3 linked regions of the Saccharomyces cerevisiae S288C genome follow. Changing the gene in region 3 together with the main gene of any one other region gives a genetic interaction. Each region holds a gene or a part of one and is shown on either strand. Other genes may lie near its edges.

Region 1 (4,571 bases), on a different chromosome or scaffold from region 3:
TACGTCACAGTACATCTCTTTAAACCTTTTCGTTTCTCGGCTGTTTAAGGAAAGTATCGTCTTGCCGTATCTACATAAATCAATTCTTACCCATTTTCTTTTGCATTCTAGCCGTTAATTCACGGCTTAGTCGTTTGATATCGTGTTTGAATTGTGAATTGCATCATTCATGCGGAATGGGAATCATCGCAGTCGTTATCCGTCTCACAAACGTCGGCATTTGCTGACTATTAAGGCGACACGTAACCTACAAACTCAATTTGAGACGCAAACGCAAGTTGATTAGACGTTGAGAATGATGCAAGTAGCAACATCGGTAATGGTTAGACTATTTTATCAGAAAACTATAGAAAAACTAAAAACAAAACAATGTCACAATGACAAAGAGGAACCCATACATACACAGAGAGCCTATTCTTCCAGTAGTTCCTCAATATCAGCATCACTATCTGGGTCCAACCCTTGGTTTCTTCTCTTAGCCTCTTCCAAAGCGTTTTCAAACAACTCCTGTTGTCTTTTAACTCTTCTTCTAGTTTTCTTACCCCAACCGAAAGAAGTTGTTTCTGCTGTTGCAGCATCATCTGGCTTGTCGATCAGGTCTTTTGATCTCTTTTCCTCTTTGTCTCGTTTGTCCTTTTCCACTTGGGCAGCCAACTGCTTCTTCGCCAATTCCCTGGATGCGATATTTCTTAAGAGTAAATAACCACCTACAATTATCACCAATCTTATAAAGTGCTTGTAGTCATAGTTGACTAGTTTTGCCATCCAGGTATCCACCCATGTTTCCGCTACTTCAGACATCTCTTTCAATTACTCGGCAGTTTTTCTCTTCATAACATCTTTTCCTCATACAAACCGCCGAGTGCACATAAATACAACTACAAATAATAATATGTTGACATCGGATGGAGATCACTAACTAAACCGCCACCGCGCTAATTCTGCACAAATTCAAATTTCATCATCGCTCTCCACGTCATCATGGACGTCTTCCACCTCGGCGGATTCTTCGTCTTTTGATAGAATTTCCACAGCCCGCGGACGCACAAACGATCCGTGACCCGGCGCCACAGGCCCAAACAGTGTTACCCCATTTATGCGCCCATCGTTTTTGCCTGCGGCTTCCGGGAATTCCACACCGCACCATGTGCCCATCACGTCCAACGGTAGTGGTCCTACGTACCGTAAAATGGCCTCACGTGGAGCGCTCCCGTCTACTGTGACACGACAGTGGCGGCCGATAGCCGCCGTTAATTGCTCTCGGGCATATGCTTCGTCCTGCTTTGCCAGCGCAGCGCGCTGGCTCTGCTGTGCAGCATTAAACCTACCATAGCCGTGAGCCATCTTCCATCGTAATACGGATTGATCCCTTCGCAAATAATCCTCCTCGCTAATTACTTCCATTGAGGGGATTCCTTCCGCTTGCGTGGCCAGCTGGTTAGAGATTGATTGGGCATTAGAGTCTGTAACAACCACAATAAGCTCCTCCTCTCCTTTTAGGAAGTTGGCATCTTCATCCTCATTTGAATAGGCACCCCCCTTTTTAGTACTATATATCTCCTTGTTGTCGTACTGTCTTTTCACAACTATTTCCATATCCTCTGGTTCCACTCCGGTAACATGGTACAATCGGTCCTTGAACTGCCTTAATTTAAGCGAATTTGGTAATTCCTTTTCTGTACGGACCAATTCACTCTCTATGACAACTCTAACCATAGTTTTGCCATGTAATTTTTTTTTCTATCTCTTTATTTGAATTCGTTGCTCTATGTTCTTGTCGCTTGTCTTCTTCAACTGCCGTTTCCCTGCGAGCCGGAAAAAAGTACTGTTCTTTCGAACAAAGGCGAAAAAAGCTGTAGCTGAAAACAGACAACTGGGAAACGACAATTAAGAATACGCATGTACGTGTATACTACTACAGTAAAAAAGAAAGTTATTTGAGAGCAGCACTTTGTTTACTACACAGAACATTAACCAAAAAAACATGCATCAGCAACACTCCGTATGTTTCACTTCTTATTTTCTTCCGTGGCAATAACCTTCCTTTTGACTTATTTATACTAACATTATAATAACTATGTTTCCTTTTTGAACTAAGAAATCAGAGAACAAACCACAACAGCAAAGGAAAAAATTCGAAGGCCCTAAAAGAGAAGCTATTCTGGATTTAGCGAAGTATAAAGATTCTAAAATTCGCGTCAAATTAATGGGTGGTAAATTAGTTATAGGTGTCCTAAAAGGCTATGATCAACTGATGAACTTGGTACTTGATGATACAGTAGAATATATGTCTAATCCTGATGATGAAAACAACACTGAACTGATTTCTAAAAACGCAAGAAAGCTAGGTTTGACCGTCATAAGAGGTACTATTTTGGTCTCTTTAAGTTCCGCCGAAGGTTCTGATGTACTATATATGCAAAAATAGGTTTAATAATATAATCTCATATAAACTCCCTTCCTTACAGTTGAAAACAAAATCAAATCACGGTATGGCATTTCTTTACATATTCTCAATACCTGACTGACATAGTATGCGCTACATAGTTTTGTCCTATTTTTTTTACACCGCGATTTGAAGTCTAAAGCCAGAGAATGAGGAAAAACGAAACAAACTGAGATCATTTGTATAAGGGGAGTCACTGTACAGCTGCCAATACCAATTTTCCTTCTGCCAAATCAAAAAAGTATCCGCATACACATACACCCCTCCCTCTACAATCTTAATTATTTACTGATTCCTTTCGTATTTGTCCAGTATGAGCAATACTAAGCATACCACTTCTCATCACATGGAACTCAAAAGGATCATTATCCTTACACTTTTATTCATACTCATAATGTTGATATTTCGAAACTCAGTGTCCTTCAAAATGACATTTCAAGAACTACTGCCACGATTTTACAAAAAGAATTCAAACTCAGTTAGTAATAATAACAGGCCCTCATCTATTTTCTCGGAAAACTTGGTGGATTTTGATGATGTTAACATGGTCGATAAGACCAGACTGTTTATTTTTTTATTTTTCAGTTTCATCATTACTATACCGTTTATGGTATAAATTAGAAAAGTTAAAGCAGCATGTTTTCATTTGAAACAAATACTAATGCAATAATAGGTACACCATCTACTACATAATTAATTGATAGTTTCCTTTTCCGTTAAGTGCATGCATAGGACGCCCATAATTTTTTAAGTTAAAAAAGCATGTATTTACCTATTCGGGAAATTTACATGACATGGATGCCATAAGGAACGAAAATGAAACATGCATGTCAGAGGAAAAAGAACAAAGCGAGAGGAAAAAGCTGTTGCATTACCACGTAATTTTGTATATAAATATCTGATAAATAACCATTTTATTTCCATCCACTTCTTCTGTCGTTCATCCGTTCATTGACATCACTAGAGACACCAGCGAGCTATCATCTTCATACAACAATAACTACCAACCTTAATGCAACCGATCACCACTGCTTCCACACAAGCCACTCAGAAGGATAAATCCTCTGAAAAGAAAGACAACTATATAATCAAGGGCCTCTTCTGGGATCCCGCCTGTGTTATCGCTTAATTTTTGACGACAACCAAGAGGTCAAATCAATATCTACCCTTTCATTTATTACGTGTTGCTGGCAAACTAATTTATTCCAATTCTCTCATCATTAGCTCACCCTTTCCATACTTTTTCATACTTTTATACATATGTATTTGTAGTTATCACTTTAACAGATTTTTTCATGTTTTTCTTTTCTGATACGCCTTTCCCTCCGCAGGAAATGAAAGATGAACCACCCATTACATTCGATTTTTTTTTTAATTATATTTTTGACTATTATTTAATCATTAAAAACACATATATTTCATAAATTCGTAAGGTCGTTAGTTCTATCGTAAAAGTGAAAAAGTTTTGAGCCAGTTTTCAAAAACCCGCAGGATCCCACTATGTATGGCTTTAAATAATGGTTTTTCACGTGCATCAAGTCCGTACTATCTTCACCACTATAAACTCTTATAGGTGGATTATTCGTTTCGAATGCTGGTGGCAGTGCCGGTTTGAAAATAATCTTACCTACCCATGGGTGGTCTTCCGTTAACGGTTTGATGCATCTTAATGAGTCTTTGATATATCTTTTCCTTGAAACTAGTTGTGTCGCCGGTGCCCACTTCGAATCGTTACTGGATTGATTCTTATTTCCACATTTTAGTGACAATTTCTTTGGAAAATCATGATTTAAACAACCAGTCACGGAAAAGCTTTTCGTACTGAATATTGTACCGTACTCAACGTCCGCATTCTCATAGCGAGATTCTCTTTCATCCAAATATACCAATCTATTGATGTCATCATCCTCAACATATCCATCTTCATCATCCTCTTCGTAATTAGCATCGTCTTCGTCTTCGTCATCATCTTCATCTCCATTTACATCTTCATTGCCACGGTTTAACTTTTCTTCACGATTCGTACGCTCAGCAGAATTCGAAATAGTTGACCTTCCTGTTCCCTCGTATACCGGTTCAAAATTATTAATTTTCAACACTGACCGATCACAGCGCAAAGGATCTA
Region 2 (5,213 bases), 220 kb from region 3:
ACGTACCGTATAGAACCATTATGAGTTAACCCACCACTGATCTTGGATGCCAGAACATTCAGCAACGTAGTCTTCCCTGACCCCGAACCACCCATAACTGCCATGACCGACCCACTGGGCAGGTCCATGGAAAACGTATTAACTAGCGTCGTATTTGTTTTGGATGCAACGATTGACAAATCCCTTACATGAAGGCTTATTCTAGGGATTCTTGAGAAGGAAAGTCTATTTTCGATTAATTCAGTGGCCACATCACCATTCTCCTGCTGTGACATAGTGGCTGCAAGTGGATGTTTGGCGTTGGTGATTGTAGCTTAAAATACGATGATCGTTTGAAAACTGCCAAGCACTTGTGCCTACTTCTGCATTTACATCACAAATTCGTTTATCTCATCACTAGATCCTTCCTTTTTTTTTTTTCACTTTCTGATATTTCGTATAAGTGTCAACCCAACAATACTAAAGCCAGACATATGATAGAAGTAACTGCCTCACATGGCTGTAAACGATGTTGCTAAACCGTTGCTATGTTTATTTGTTTATGTAGGTATATGCTGATATAAATCATCTCCTAAAGGTATCCAAAAATTGGACTCCCAGTGGTCTTGCAGGTTCATCGGCACCAGGCTCGTCATCACCAGCGCTAGAGGTATTTGTAGGGGTGGTGCTTGAACCACGAAGCGGTAGGCTTGTAGGCCCAGAGTTGCCTGTATTTCCATTTCCTGTAGCAGCAGTAGCTGCTTCTACAGTGGCTCTTGCTGCTGCTGTATTCGTGGCCGCATTGGCCGCTATAGCAACGTTAGCCCTCGTGGGTGGGCCTTGAGAGATGAAATAGGATACAAACGGTATTCTCCAATGGTCTAATCCCGGTAACAGGCCCTTATCGATGAAAATACCACACATCCAGCTTATGAATCCGCATAGTATTCCTGCAAACCCCTGATTTAATATAAGCAGGAGAATTAACCCATTTAAAAGAAACTGATCGTTGATTTTCCACTCTACGGCGCTCTTGTCTTCTCGCTTGTTATCATTGTGACTTGATGCTCCTCCTCGAGGTCCTAGTAATCTTATATTCCATTCGTAAATCTGAGGGGTGTATTCTTTGTAAAAATGTACTAAGCTTAAAACAATGGGCAGTGAACCTGTACTAAAATTGTTCCATTGAAGCCACTTGTACTGTCCAATAAATGCGTTCCAGATCAGATTCAATCCCCAAATTCCTAAGGTGGTGTAGGCCCATGACAAAACAATCAAGGTCAAGTACTTGTGGGATCCTAGTAGCCGTTCTAAATGCCTAAACAGATACCATATCAACGCCAGTATTACTGTATCGGATTCATTGATGGCGCAGAACTGGAATATGAGCAGACGGTAGTATTGATGGTAGGTCTGCAGAAAAGGATCATATTGCAATAGAAATATATGTTTGTAACTTGCAATCGAGGCAACTAAGGGAACCACAAGCGTCGTGATCATGGCTAGCTTGGTGACGGGCATAGCCGTAAGCCCCACAGGAGGCTCCATAGACATTATTTGTAGACTATTGTGTTTGCTTTTTATGTCGTTGACTTTCTCTCCCTTTAATAGTTAAGTTTATACGTCAAATTTCTCTTCTATACTTTTCCAAAAAAAAAAAACCATCTTCACATCAATGGCATTCAAAGTAAGAAACAGGGCAGGGATAAAAGGATAGATAGCAATGGACATGGCCAACCAGTTGCTAGATGAATTAGCACATGGAAATTTTTCCCACCTAACGCTAAACTTGTCCCAAAATGGTAGGGAAATTGCTATCTTACAGAAGCAATTGACCGGATTTGATGATAAACAGCTAGAAACGTTTGTAGAACAACACCCGGCTATGCCCAATGATACGAGATTCAAAATCATGTGTACATCCTTTTTAAATTATGCCCGAGATGTCGACCCATGGTCAGCCTGGTCCAGTTCGGATCTAATTTTTGAGTTTTATCAATGTTTAATCAACTGTCTCATCAACGACAATGCTCCTCACATAGAAATGTTGATACCAGTAGCAACTAGAGAAACAGAATTTATCATCAATCTCGCTGGGAAACTAGACTCTTTCCACTTGCAACTGCATACGAGAAGTCACCAATTTCTATCACATATATCGTCCATCCTATCAAGACTATTTAACAGCATCAAACCTCCACGAGGTAACGCATCTTCTACAAATATACCTGGAAAACAACGAATACTGCTCTACCTGGTCAATAAACTAAATAACATCTACTTCAGGATCGAGTCACCGCAATTATGTTCCAATATCTTTAAGAACTTTCAGCCAAAAAGCATGCTTGCACATTTCAACGAATACCAGCTCGACCAGCAAATAGAATACAGATATCTATTAGGAAGGTACTACTTGTTGAACTCTCAAGTACATAATGCCTTCGTTCAATTCAATGAAGCTTTCCAGTCCTTATTGAACTTGCCGTTAACGAACCAAGCGATCACTAGGAATGGCACCAGAATACTAAATTACATGATCCCTACAGGGCTGATACTGGGAAAGATGGTCAAATGGGGACCGTTGCGACCGTTCCTTTCCCAAGAAACAATTGATAATTGGAGTGTTCTCTACAAACACGTACGTTATGGGAATATTCAAGGCGTGAGTCTCTGGCTGAGACAAAACGAGCGTCATTTGTGTGCAAGACAGTTACTGATCGTGCTCCTAGAGAAACTGCCCATGGTAACGTACAGAAATCTGATTAAAACGGTAATAAAGTCCTGGACCACCGAATGGGGTCAGAACAAATTACCGTACTCCTTGATAGAACGGGTACTACAGCTATCTATTGGTCCGACATTCGAGGATCCCGGCGCCCAGGAAATTACCATTTATAATGGCATTCACTCCCCCAAGAACGTCGAAAACGTACTTGTGACACTGATTAACTTGGGACTTTTACGCGCAAACTGTTTCCCACAGTTACAACTGTGTGTAGTGAAAAAGACTACAATGATACAAGAGATTGTTCCGCCGGTTAATGAACGAATCACCAAGATGTTTCCTGCCCATTCTCACGTTCTTTGGTGATATGTAGATATATATAGGAAATAGAAGAGAAGGAGCGACATTATGCTGTTTCTTACAGATTTCATAAGAGACTAGATTTTAAGTATATTTAGGATATATAAGAAAGGCGAAATTTGTAAAAAAAGAACAGGAGGAAAAAAGGGAGTACACTTTAAAAAGGAGCACATAAATGCACAATATGTTTCCAGCACTCACAAAGACACTGTCGTTGCAAGGCTACAAGATTATCAACTCTCAAACAGGGTCCGCTGCATGGTCGTGCGGTCGTAGGTGGTTTAGTAGTGATAAAGATGACCACGACGATGTGGTGACGAGGATTAAAATTGCCCCCATAAAGAGAACTAACGAGCCATTGGATAAGAAAAGAGCTCGGTTGATATATCAATCACGCAAAAGAGGGATCTTGGAGACGGACTTGCTGCTATCTGGGTTCGCTGCCAAATATTTGAAGAAGATGAACGAAGAGGAACTGGAAGAATACGATTCGCTATTGAATGAGTTGGACTGGGACATATACTATTGGGCCACAAAAAATTTCAAAACCAGCCCCTTGCCTGACAAGTGGGCCAATTCTAAATTGCTGAAGCAGCTACAAGAATTCAGTGAAAATAAAGAGAAGGAAATTTTAAGTATGCCGGACTTGTCCAAGTATCAATGAATACAAGCCATTGAATTACTATCACTTTTTTTTATTTGTATATGACTTGTAAATAAACCGGAAGAGAAAGAAACTTATATATTACCACTATACTATACTATACTTATTGCTATTATTATTATTCATTATTAGTATTATAATATATTATTGATATTGATATTGATATTGTTATTGTTATTGTTACTACCACTGTTACTATTACTATTATTATTGTTGTTGCACCATCAAAACCCTTCAAGAGCCTTTGTAGCTTTGTCTAATCTTTTCAGTCCTTCTTCATAGCGGTCCGGATCAAGAACCATGTCTGCTGTTAACCTGGACAAAGAGTCTACTAGTCTCTCCAGGGCACGTTTCTCCTCAATTTTCATCCCCAGTTGCGCAAATTCAGACCCGATTAAGGTTCCCTTTGTCACACTCAACAGTTGATTTAGTGTGTCGATATCAAAGGATCGCAATTCCTTCACAGATTTTTTTTTATTGAGCTTTTTTTTCGTATCCTTCTTGAGTTTAGTTTTCTTGGGCGTTTCCTCAATGATGTCCTCGTACATGTCATCATCTTGTTTGTTTGTCGAAGTAGAGGTATGATTTGCCCTATCATGAATAGCCTTCAATGTGTCGTCACGTTTCAAATTCGATGTAACTCTGCTATCCTCATTGGGTGTGCTGGGCAATGGTCTTGTCAAGTAAGTCTCTTCCTCTGGAGGCATACTCGTTGCCGCAGAATAGTAAGATTCCGATTTTTGTTCACTAACTGTGGAAATCTGAGATGAGTTCTTATAGTGGCCACCAGGTTGGACCGGCGTTGGTAATATTTCTTCGGTTAAAAGATCCCCCTCGCCATCACCTTCTTCGATGAACAACCTTGACCTAGGACGGTCCTTACTTCTGGGCGGAATAGTTGGATTGTAGTCATTGGTTTCAGAACGTATTGGGTTTATCGCTTTGGGTGCTTCGTTGGTGGTTGTATACAACTCGGGTATGACACTGGAAACAATTGAAAGCTTATCGCTAACATTTCCTTCCTCTTCTTCTTCGAGCTGCTCTTGAATAGATTGATGGAATTTGGTATTATAAGTGGAAGATCCGCTCTCGCTGGCCAAATTACCTGATCCTATAGAGGAACGCATAACTTTTTCCTGACGTAGAGGACTAGATAACAGTTTCAGTGAGCCACGACCCTCTACTTTTTTTGAAGTGTTAGAGTTAAACCTTCCCACAGGTTTGGCATTAGTAACTGGTTTAATGACAATTTCGTCTGCATTGGTATTCGATTTTGTGCTTTGGTTATCACTTAGATGTTTTGTCAATGTCGCTTCTGAAGGCAACATGGGCAACGACGGTAACTCGTTCTTGCTCACGGGCTCTTTCAAGGAGTACAAACTATTGGAATCCTTACTTGTGCGCCGTTCTTGGGTCTGTTGCCGGTTTTTGACCACATATGATACTTCAACGCCTTCTTGAATAATTCCAGAGTAGTTGGAAATC
Region 3 (8,209 bases):
CCTCCATAAACAGTAAAATTAAAGCAAAAAAGCGTAACTGCTGATTGAAGCCTATATCACCGGGCTAAAATCTTATATCGGTTAAGAAAGTGATTAATTTATAGATATGTTCACGAAATCTTTTCTATTCAAAGATTCACGAATTTTACTCGATTTTTATAGTATACTGAAACAAGTAGTTGTAAAATCAATTCACCAAAAAAGCTTTCCCCATCTCTGATGAAAAACTACGAAAAGTTTACTATCACATAATATCGGAAGTACGTTTTTAAGGCACTGCAATGTATTTTATAATCTTGAACATTTGGAGGTATATTACCTTACTTTCTCATCAGGTTGTATATTTGAGCGTCTCGGGAATGATAAGTCGGGTAACGAGAGTATCTAGATAAGATTTTCAGCTATGGCAATAAAAAACCAAACCTCATCGATGAACCTATTACAACATAAAGACATCCCGTAATAATTAGTGAGACAGGTTCTTCAAGGAAGTGCTACAGCCAAGTTTCGTAATATAATGGGTGTTCCGTCATTTTTCAGATGGCTATCTCGAAAATATCCAAAGATCATATCCCCAGTATTGGAAGAGCAACCTCAGATAGTCGACGGTGTCATATTGCCGTTGGATTATTCCGCCTCAAATCCAAACGGTGAGTTAGACAACTTGTATTTGGATATGAATGGTATTGTTCATCCATGTTCGCACCCAGAAAACAAACCGCCTCCAGAGACTGAAGATGAAATGCTTTTGGCAGTTTTTGAATATACCAATCGTGTGTTAAATATGGCTAGACCACGCAAGGTACTTGTTATGGCTGTTGATGGTGTTGCTCCTCGTGCCAAAATGAACCAGCAGAGAGCGCGTAGATTTAGGAGTGCTAGGGATGCTCAGATTGAAAACGAAGCCAGGGAAGAAATTATGAGACAGCGAGAAGAAGTTGGTGAGATAATCGATGATGCCGTCAGGAACAAGAAAACTTGGGATTCAAATGCGATCACTCCAGGCACCCCATTTATGGATAAGCTTGCCGCGGCCCTCCGTTATTGGACAGCATTTAAACTGGCCACTGACCCTGGTTGGAAAAACCTGCAGGTGATTATCAGTGACGCCACCGTCCCAGGTGAAGGTGAGCACAAAATAATGAATTTCATTAGGTCTCAAAGAGCTGATCCTGAATATAATCCCAACACAACGCACTGTATATACGGTTTGGATGCTGATTTAATTTTTTTGGGCCTTGCCACTCATGAACCACATTTTAAAATTCTAAGAGAAGATGTTTTTGCTCAAGACAATCGGAAAAGAAATAACTTAAAAGATACTATAAATATGACTGAAGAAGAAAAACAATTTCTCCAAAAACAAAATTCCGAACAACCTTTCTTGTGGCTGCACATAAATGTTTTGAGGGAATACTTGTCCGCTGAGTTATGGGTTCCGGGTCTTCCATTTACATTTGATTTAGAAAGGGCTATCGACGATTGGGTTTTCATGTGCTTTTTCTGTGGTAATGACTTTTTACCACATTTACCATGCTTAGATGTCAGAGAAAATAGTATTGATATTCTCTTGGATATTTGGAAGGTAGTACTACCGAAATTGAAAACGTACATGACCTGCGACGGTGTCTTGAACCTCCCTTCTGTTGAAACGCTATTGCAACACCTTGGCTCCCGTGAGGGGGATATCTTCAAAACTAGACATATTCAAGAAGCCAGAAAGAAAGAAGCTTTTGAAAGAAGGAAAGCGCAGAAAAATATGTCAAAAGGTCAAGACAGGCATCCTACAGTAGCTACGGAGCAACTGCAAATGTATGACACACAAGGAAATTTAGCAAAAGGTTCATGGAACTTGACCACCAGTGATATGGTAAGGTTGAAAAAGGAACTGATGCTTGCGAACGAGGGGAACGAAGAAGCAATCGCCAAAGTTAAGCAACAGAGTGATAAGAACAATGAACTGATGAAAGATATCAGCAAGGAAGAAATTGATGATGCTGTTAGTAAGGCTAACAAAACTAATTTTAACCTTGCAGAAGTTATGAAACAGAAAATAATAAATAAGAAACACCGTCTTGAAAAGGATAATGAAGAGGAAGAAATTGCTAAGGATAGCAAAAAAGTTAAGACAGAGAAAGCGGAATCAGAGTGCGATCTCGATGCAGAGATCAAAGATGAGATTGTGGCTGACGTAAACGACAGGGAAAACTCTGAAACTACAGAAGTATCAAGAGATTCACCAGTCCACAGCACAGTGAATGTCAGCGAAGGTCCCAAAAATGGGGTCTTTGATACAGATGAATTTGTCAAACTATTCGAACCTGGTTACCACGAAAGATATTACACAGCTAAATTTCACGTTACTCCTCAAGATATTGAACAGTTAAGAAAAGATATGGTAAAATGCTATATCGAAGGGGTCGCCTGGGTACTAATGTATTACTATCAAGGTTGTGCCTCTTGGAATTGGTTCTATCCGTACCATTATGCTCCTCTGGCAACAGATTTCCATGGGTTTTCTCACTTGGAGATAAAGTTCGAAGAAGGTACTCCATTTTTACCTTACGAACAATTGATGAGTGTTTTACCAGCTGCATCTGGCCATGCTTTGCCAAAAATTTTCCGGTCTTTGATGTCTGAACCTGACTCTGAAATCATTGATTTTTATCCTGAAGAATTTCCCATAGATATGAATGGTAAGAAGATGTCCTGGCAAGGCATAGCGTTGCTACCATTCATCGATCAGGATAGACTGTTAACAGCTGTTCGTGCACAATATCCTTTACTTTCTGATGCTGAGAGGGCAAGAAATATTCGCGGAGAACCTGTTTTATTAATAAGTAACAAGAATGCTAATTATGAGAGGTTTTCGAAGAAATTATACTCAAAGGAAAACAACAACAACAATGTTGTTGTGAAGTTTCAACACTTCAAGAGTGGTTTAAGTGGTATTGTATCAAAGGACGTTGAAGGTTTCGAATTAAATGGGAAAATTGTATGTCCGATTCAAGGTGGGTCACTGCCAAATTTATCTACCACCTTGATTTTAAAGATGTCCTATAGATTAATTCCGTTGCCATCGAGAAATAAGTCTATTATACTGAACGGGTTCATTCCGTCAGAACCGGTACTAACAGCATATGACCTTGATTCCATAATGTACAAGTATAATAACCAAAATTACTCCCGTCGCTGGAACTTTGGTAATGATTTGAAGCAAAATATTGTTCCAGTAGGACCAAAGGGTATTACTCAGTACAAACCAAGAACTGGTGGCTATCGAGCATTCTTTTATTTTGCTGAGCTCAGTAGAAATAATGTCCAACCCGCCCACAACTATGGTAGGAATAGCTACAACAGTCAACCCGGCTTCAACAATAGCAGGTATGATGGTGGAAACAATAATTACAGACAAAATTCAAATTACAGGAACAATAACTATTCCGGAAATAGAAATAGTGGACAGTACAGCGGCAACAGCTACTCTCGGAATAACAAGCAAAGTCGGTATGACAATTCAAGAGCAAATAGGCGTTAGAACTACTCGTGCGCATTTTATTTTATGGTAAATTTAGGTTTTCGCAAATTTATAAAATCTTCATACAATTAAAAAAAAGCTCTTTTAAGATAATAGTGTCTGCTCTTACAAACGACGAACAGTAATATTTTATAACAAAAAATGGAACATATTAAGTTAAGAGAAAATCATGCTGAAGCATGAATATATGAATATACGTCCTCTTGTAAAATAGCGAAATCCTTGTAAGCCAATAGACCGAACTCTATTTTGATTTATACGCTTCGTGTATTTTTTCTTCCAGATCCAGGAGAAAAAGCATGGTCTGTTCTTCTTTTTTGAAAAGAGAGGCAGTCCACGGCGAAAGTTTCGAATACGGCACTACCTTTTTTTTCTAAGTTCCTAAACTTAAAATCAAATTTGGTCTTTGGTCTGTTATCATCCAGGGATGAATGCAACATATTGGGAAGTTCATGCTATACAACGCCAACCCCTTCGCTCAAGTCACGAAAGCACATCTTACACTTCCTCCTTGGCCAATATGCAAGCGTCCTCTTCAAAAAATCTTGCAACAAACAATCGGGTAATGTGGGATGTTGTGGAAAAATGAAATAAAGTTTTCAATAAATCCGACTGAGCTAAGCAGGAAAATTTTCGTACGCGGGTTTTTGTCCAATTTTTTCCCTTCCTTTTGAAAACACGGAAAATCTTTTAGCGAAGGCTGCTCTTAGTTCCATAACGGAAAAATTCCAGGAGTTATTAAAAGACAGAGTTATAGTTTAGTAAATTTTCTTTTGAGTTAACGAGAGAGGGACGTTTTCGAACTAAATAGAGGAGAAGAAAGGCTTCAAGAAATATCGTACCGTAGGAAACCAGTTTAATATATTAGAAGCTCTCATTTACCTATCATTTTCGTTACCATCGCGATTGTAGGAGGTTTTGCACTACTTAACAGACAAATAAAACGAGATGTTTGTTTCACCACCTCCAGCAACAGCGAGGAACCAAGTATTAGGGAAAAGAAAATCGAAAAGACATGACGAAAATCCAAAGAATGTTCAACCCAACGCTGACACAGAAATGACAAATAGCGTTCCTTCTATTGGATTCAACAGCAATCTTCCACATAATAACCAAGAAATAAACACACCAAATCACTATAATTTGAGTTCCAATTCAGGAAATGTTAGGAGCAACAACAATTTTGTTACTACACCACCAGAATATGCAGACAGGGCAAGAATAGAAATCATAAAAAGGTTATTGCCTACTGCAGGAACTAAACCTATGGAAGTGAACAGTAATACTGCAGAAAATGCAAATATCCAACACATAAATACCCCGGACAGTCAAAGTTTTGTTTCAGACCATTCATCTTCATACGAATCGAGTATATTTTCACAGCCATCTACTGCTCTTACGGACATCACCACAGGCAGCTCGTTAATTGATACAAAAACACCTAAGTTCGTCACAGAAGTAACACTTGAAGACGCTTTACCCAAAACATTCTATGATATGTATTCTCCCGAAGTTCTGATGTCTGATCCAGCAAATATACTTTATAACGGACGTCCTAAGTTTACAAAGCGCGAATTGCTGGACTGGGATCTAAACGATATACGATCCTTGTTAATTGTGGAACAATTAAGGCCAGAATGGGGTTCCCAGTTACCGACGGTAGTGACCTCCGGTATAAACTTACCGCAATTCAGACTACAATTACTTCCCCTAAGTTCCAGTGATGAGTTTATAATAGCGACATTGGTTAACTCAGACTTATACATAGAAGCAAATCTAGACCGCAATTTTAAGTTGACAAGCGCAAAATATACAGTTGCATCAGCAAGAAAAAGACATGAAGAAATGACTGGGTCAAAGGAACCCATTATGCGTCTATCAAAGCCTGAATGGAGAAATATAATTGAGAACTATTTATTAAATGTTGCCGTCGAGGCCCAATGCAGATATGACTTTAAACAAAAGCGCTCCGAATACAAGAGATGGAAATTACTAAATTCAAATTTGAAAAGGCCTGACATGCCGCCTCCAAGCCTCATACCGCATGGTTTTAAAATACATGACTGCACTAACTCTGGTAGTCTTTTAAAAAAGGCTTTAATGAAAAATTTGCAACTAAAAAATTATAAAAATGATGCTAAGACATTAGGTGCTGGTACACAGAAAAATGTCGTTAATAAGGTTTCTCTAACTTCAGAGGAGAGGGCTGCCATCTGGTTTCAATGCCAAACACAGGTTTATCAAAGGTTGGGGTTAGATTGGAAGCCTGATGGAATGTCCTAGTAAATTTTTACAACAACGCAAAAACGAAATACCCCACTATTTAACCACTTAACGACATTAATATTAATTACAAAAGTGTTTGATACACGTACTATTATAGATTTCGACGACCTTTAAGATTAAGTAATACCTTTAATAATTTTAATATATTTTAAGCCTACTGCTCTAAAATTGCCCAAAAAAAAAACCCAAAAAAATCAACATTTAAATATGATGATACTCCCATATATATCGTATTTAAAGAATAACTCTGCTGTTGTCTTGATTATTTGATTGTTACATTATTATCAACGCGGTATTACCCGTATGCAAATTTTTCAATCAAGCAAAGCATTGCAAAATTTGCATTACCTTTAAAACCAGTTGACCTTTATACACCATAAAATACTCGATCAGCAACCAAGAACATCTATAAAAATACTTACCACCTTAGATCGGAATGAGTGATACAAAGAGAGATCCGGCCGATTTACTAGCTTCTTTAAAGATTGATAATGAGAAAGAGGATACAAGTGAAGTTTCAACAAAAGAGACTGTTAAGTCCCAACCAGAAAAGACTGCTGATTCGATCAAGCCTGCAGAAAAATTAGTTCCAAAAGTTGAGGAAAAAAAAACAAAACAGGAGGATAGTAATTTAATCAGCTCAGAATATGAAGTTAAGGTCAAACTTGCTGATATCCAGGCTGACCCAAATTCTCCATTGTACAGTGCTAAATCTTTTGATGAATTAGGATTAGCACCAGAACTACTAAAGGGGATATATGCTATGAAATTTCAAAAACCATCCAAAATTCAAGAAAGGGCGCTGCCATTATTATTACATAATCCGCCTAGGAACATGATTGCTCAGTCTCAATCAGGTACAGGTAAAACTGCCGCCTTTTCTTTAACGATGCTAACAAGAGTAAACCCAGAAGACGCATCTCCACAGGCAATTTGCTTAGCCCCCTCCAGAGAACTGGCCAGACAAACACTAGAAGTCGTTCAGGAAATGGGTAAGTTCACAAAAATAACCAGTCAGTTAATTGTTCCCGATTCTTTTGAGAAAAACAAGCAAATTAATGCTCAAGTGATTGTTGGTACGCCGGGCACTGTTCTTGACCTAATGCGTAGAAAATTGATGCAGCTACAGAAAATTAAAATTTTTGTTTTGGATGAAGCCGATAACATGTTGGATCAGCAGGGTCTAGGTGACCAGTGTATTCGTGTTAAGAGATTTTTACCCAAGGATACTCAACTTGTTTTGTTTAGTGCTACTTTTGCCGATGCAGTTAGGCAGTACGCAAAGAAGATCGTTCCAAATGCTAATACTTTAGAATTACAAACAAATGAAGTTAATGTTGATGCCATCAAACAACTATACATGGACTGCAAAAACGAAGCAGATAAGTTTGATGTTTTAACTGAGCTATATGGTTTAATGACAATTGGATCTTCCATTATTTTTGTTGCAACCAAAAAAACCGCAAACGTTTTATATGGGAAATTGAAAAGTGAAGGTCATGAAGTTTCTATCTTGCATGGTGATTTACAGACACAAGAAAGAGACAGATTAATAGACGACTTCAGAGAGGGTAGATCCAAAGTTTTGATTACTACTAATGTCCTGGCCCGTGGTATTGATATTCCTACTGTCTCAATGGTTGTCAACTATGATCTTCCAACGCTTGCTAACGGACAAGCAGATCCAGCTACTTACATTCACAGAATCGGTAGAACCGGTAGATTCGGCAGAAAAGGTGTTGCCATTTCCTTTGTACATGACAAAAATTCTTTCAATATTTTATCTGCAATTCAGAAATACTTCGGTGATATAGAAATGACTCGTGTTCCAACGGATGATTGGGATGAAGTCGAAAAAATAGTTAAGAAAGTGTTAAAGGATTAGAATTCAGTACATAATACCTCAAAATACGTAAAAGCTTTAATCTAATTTCATACACCAATGAATATATTATTACGACATCAATGGGTCCCATTTGTTTCTTCTCAGTTTGTTGATCCACTTTTACTTGTGAGGCAAGCTTATATAAATACAAACACAGCATATACCTTGTGATTTCGATACCTTTGTCACTCTCTTTTGTCACGGCTTTCCGGTGAACAGTAAACAGCCCGTATACAAAAGGCTTGCGTTAAAAGGAATACTAAATGTAAAGCATACTTGCTTTTTTTCCATTATATACACTGCTAACTCTACATAATTCGGGAATAAAATATAAACATATTTGACAAATTCTTTTGAGAACCCAAAAACCAATATATATACAGGTAAGTGAAAAAATCTCAACTATACAAGAACCAACCCCTTATAATTGTGGGGCCAACATGTCCATGAGTGGAGATTGAATAAACGCAACACCTGCAACGAAGAAGGCACCGTTTAGT

The links. A genetic interaction does not mean that the proteins touch.
Region 1: mutations in DBP5 (region 3) and LSM7 together harm fitness more than expected from each alone (negative genetic interaction), as found in Saccharomyces cerevisiae (4 studies listed by BioGRID, with this or other methods).
Region 2: mutations in DBP5 (region 3) and THP1 are lethal when combined (synthetic lethality), as found in Saccharomyces cerevisiae (3 studies listed by BioGRID, with this or other methods).

What each region holds. Positions count from the first base shown.
Region 1 is NC_001146.8:348,956-353,526, forward strand, and holds LSM7 (Sm-like protein LSM7), read left to right. Parts: upstream 1-1,984; coding exon 1,985-2,002; intron 2,003-2,098; coding exon 2,099-2,428; downstream 2,429-4,571. Other genes in the region: PGA2 (Pga2p), read right to left, coding at 412-801; ALF1 (Alf1p), read right to left, coding at 952-1,716; YNL146C-A (uncharacterized protein), read right to left, coding at 2,431-2,625; YNL146W (uncharacterized protein), read left to right, coding at 2,760-3,062; MFA2 (mating pheromone a), read left to right, coding at 3,459-3,575; MPF1 (Mpf1p), read right to left, coding at 3,865-4,571. UniProt on the Saccharomyces cerevisiae protein: Component of LSm protein complexes, which are involved in RNA processing and may function in a chaperone-like manner. Component of the cytoplasmic LSM1-LSM7 complex which is involved in mRNA degradation by activating the decapping step.
Region 2 is NC_001147.6:193,268-198,480, forward strand, and holds THP1 (Thp1p), read left to right. Parts: upstream 1-1,702; coding exon 1,703-3,070; downstream 3,071-5,213. Other genes in the region: YOL075C (uncharacterized protein), read right to left, coding at 1-275; DSC2 (Dsc2p), read right to left, coding at 565-1,533; succinate dehydrogenase assembly factor SDH5, read left to right, coding at 3,240-3,728; NBA1 (Nba1p), read right to left, coding at 3,953-5,213. UniProt on the Saccharomyces cerevisiae protein: Component of the SAC3-THP1 complex, which functions in transcription-coupled mRNA export from the nucleus to the cytoplasm.
Region 3 is NC_001147.6:413,959-422,167, reverse strand, and holds DBP5 (ATP-dependent RNA helicase DBP5), read left to right. Parts: upstream 1-6,260; coding exon 6,261-7,709; downstream 7,710-8,209. Other genes in the region: ssRNA exonuclease RAT1, read left to right, coding at 518-3,538; STD1 (Std1p), read left to right, coding at 4,487-5,821; TOM6 (Tom6p), read right to left, coding at 8,131-8,209. UniProt on the Saccharomyces cerevisiae protein: ATP-dependent RNA helicase associated with the nuclear pore complex and essential for mRNA export from the nucleus. May participate in a terminal step of mRNA export through the removal of proteins that accompany mRNA through the nucleopore complex.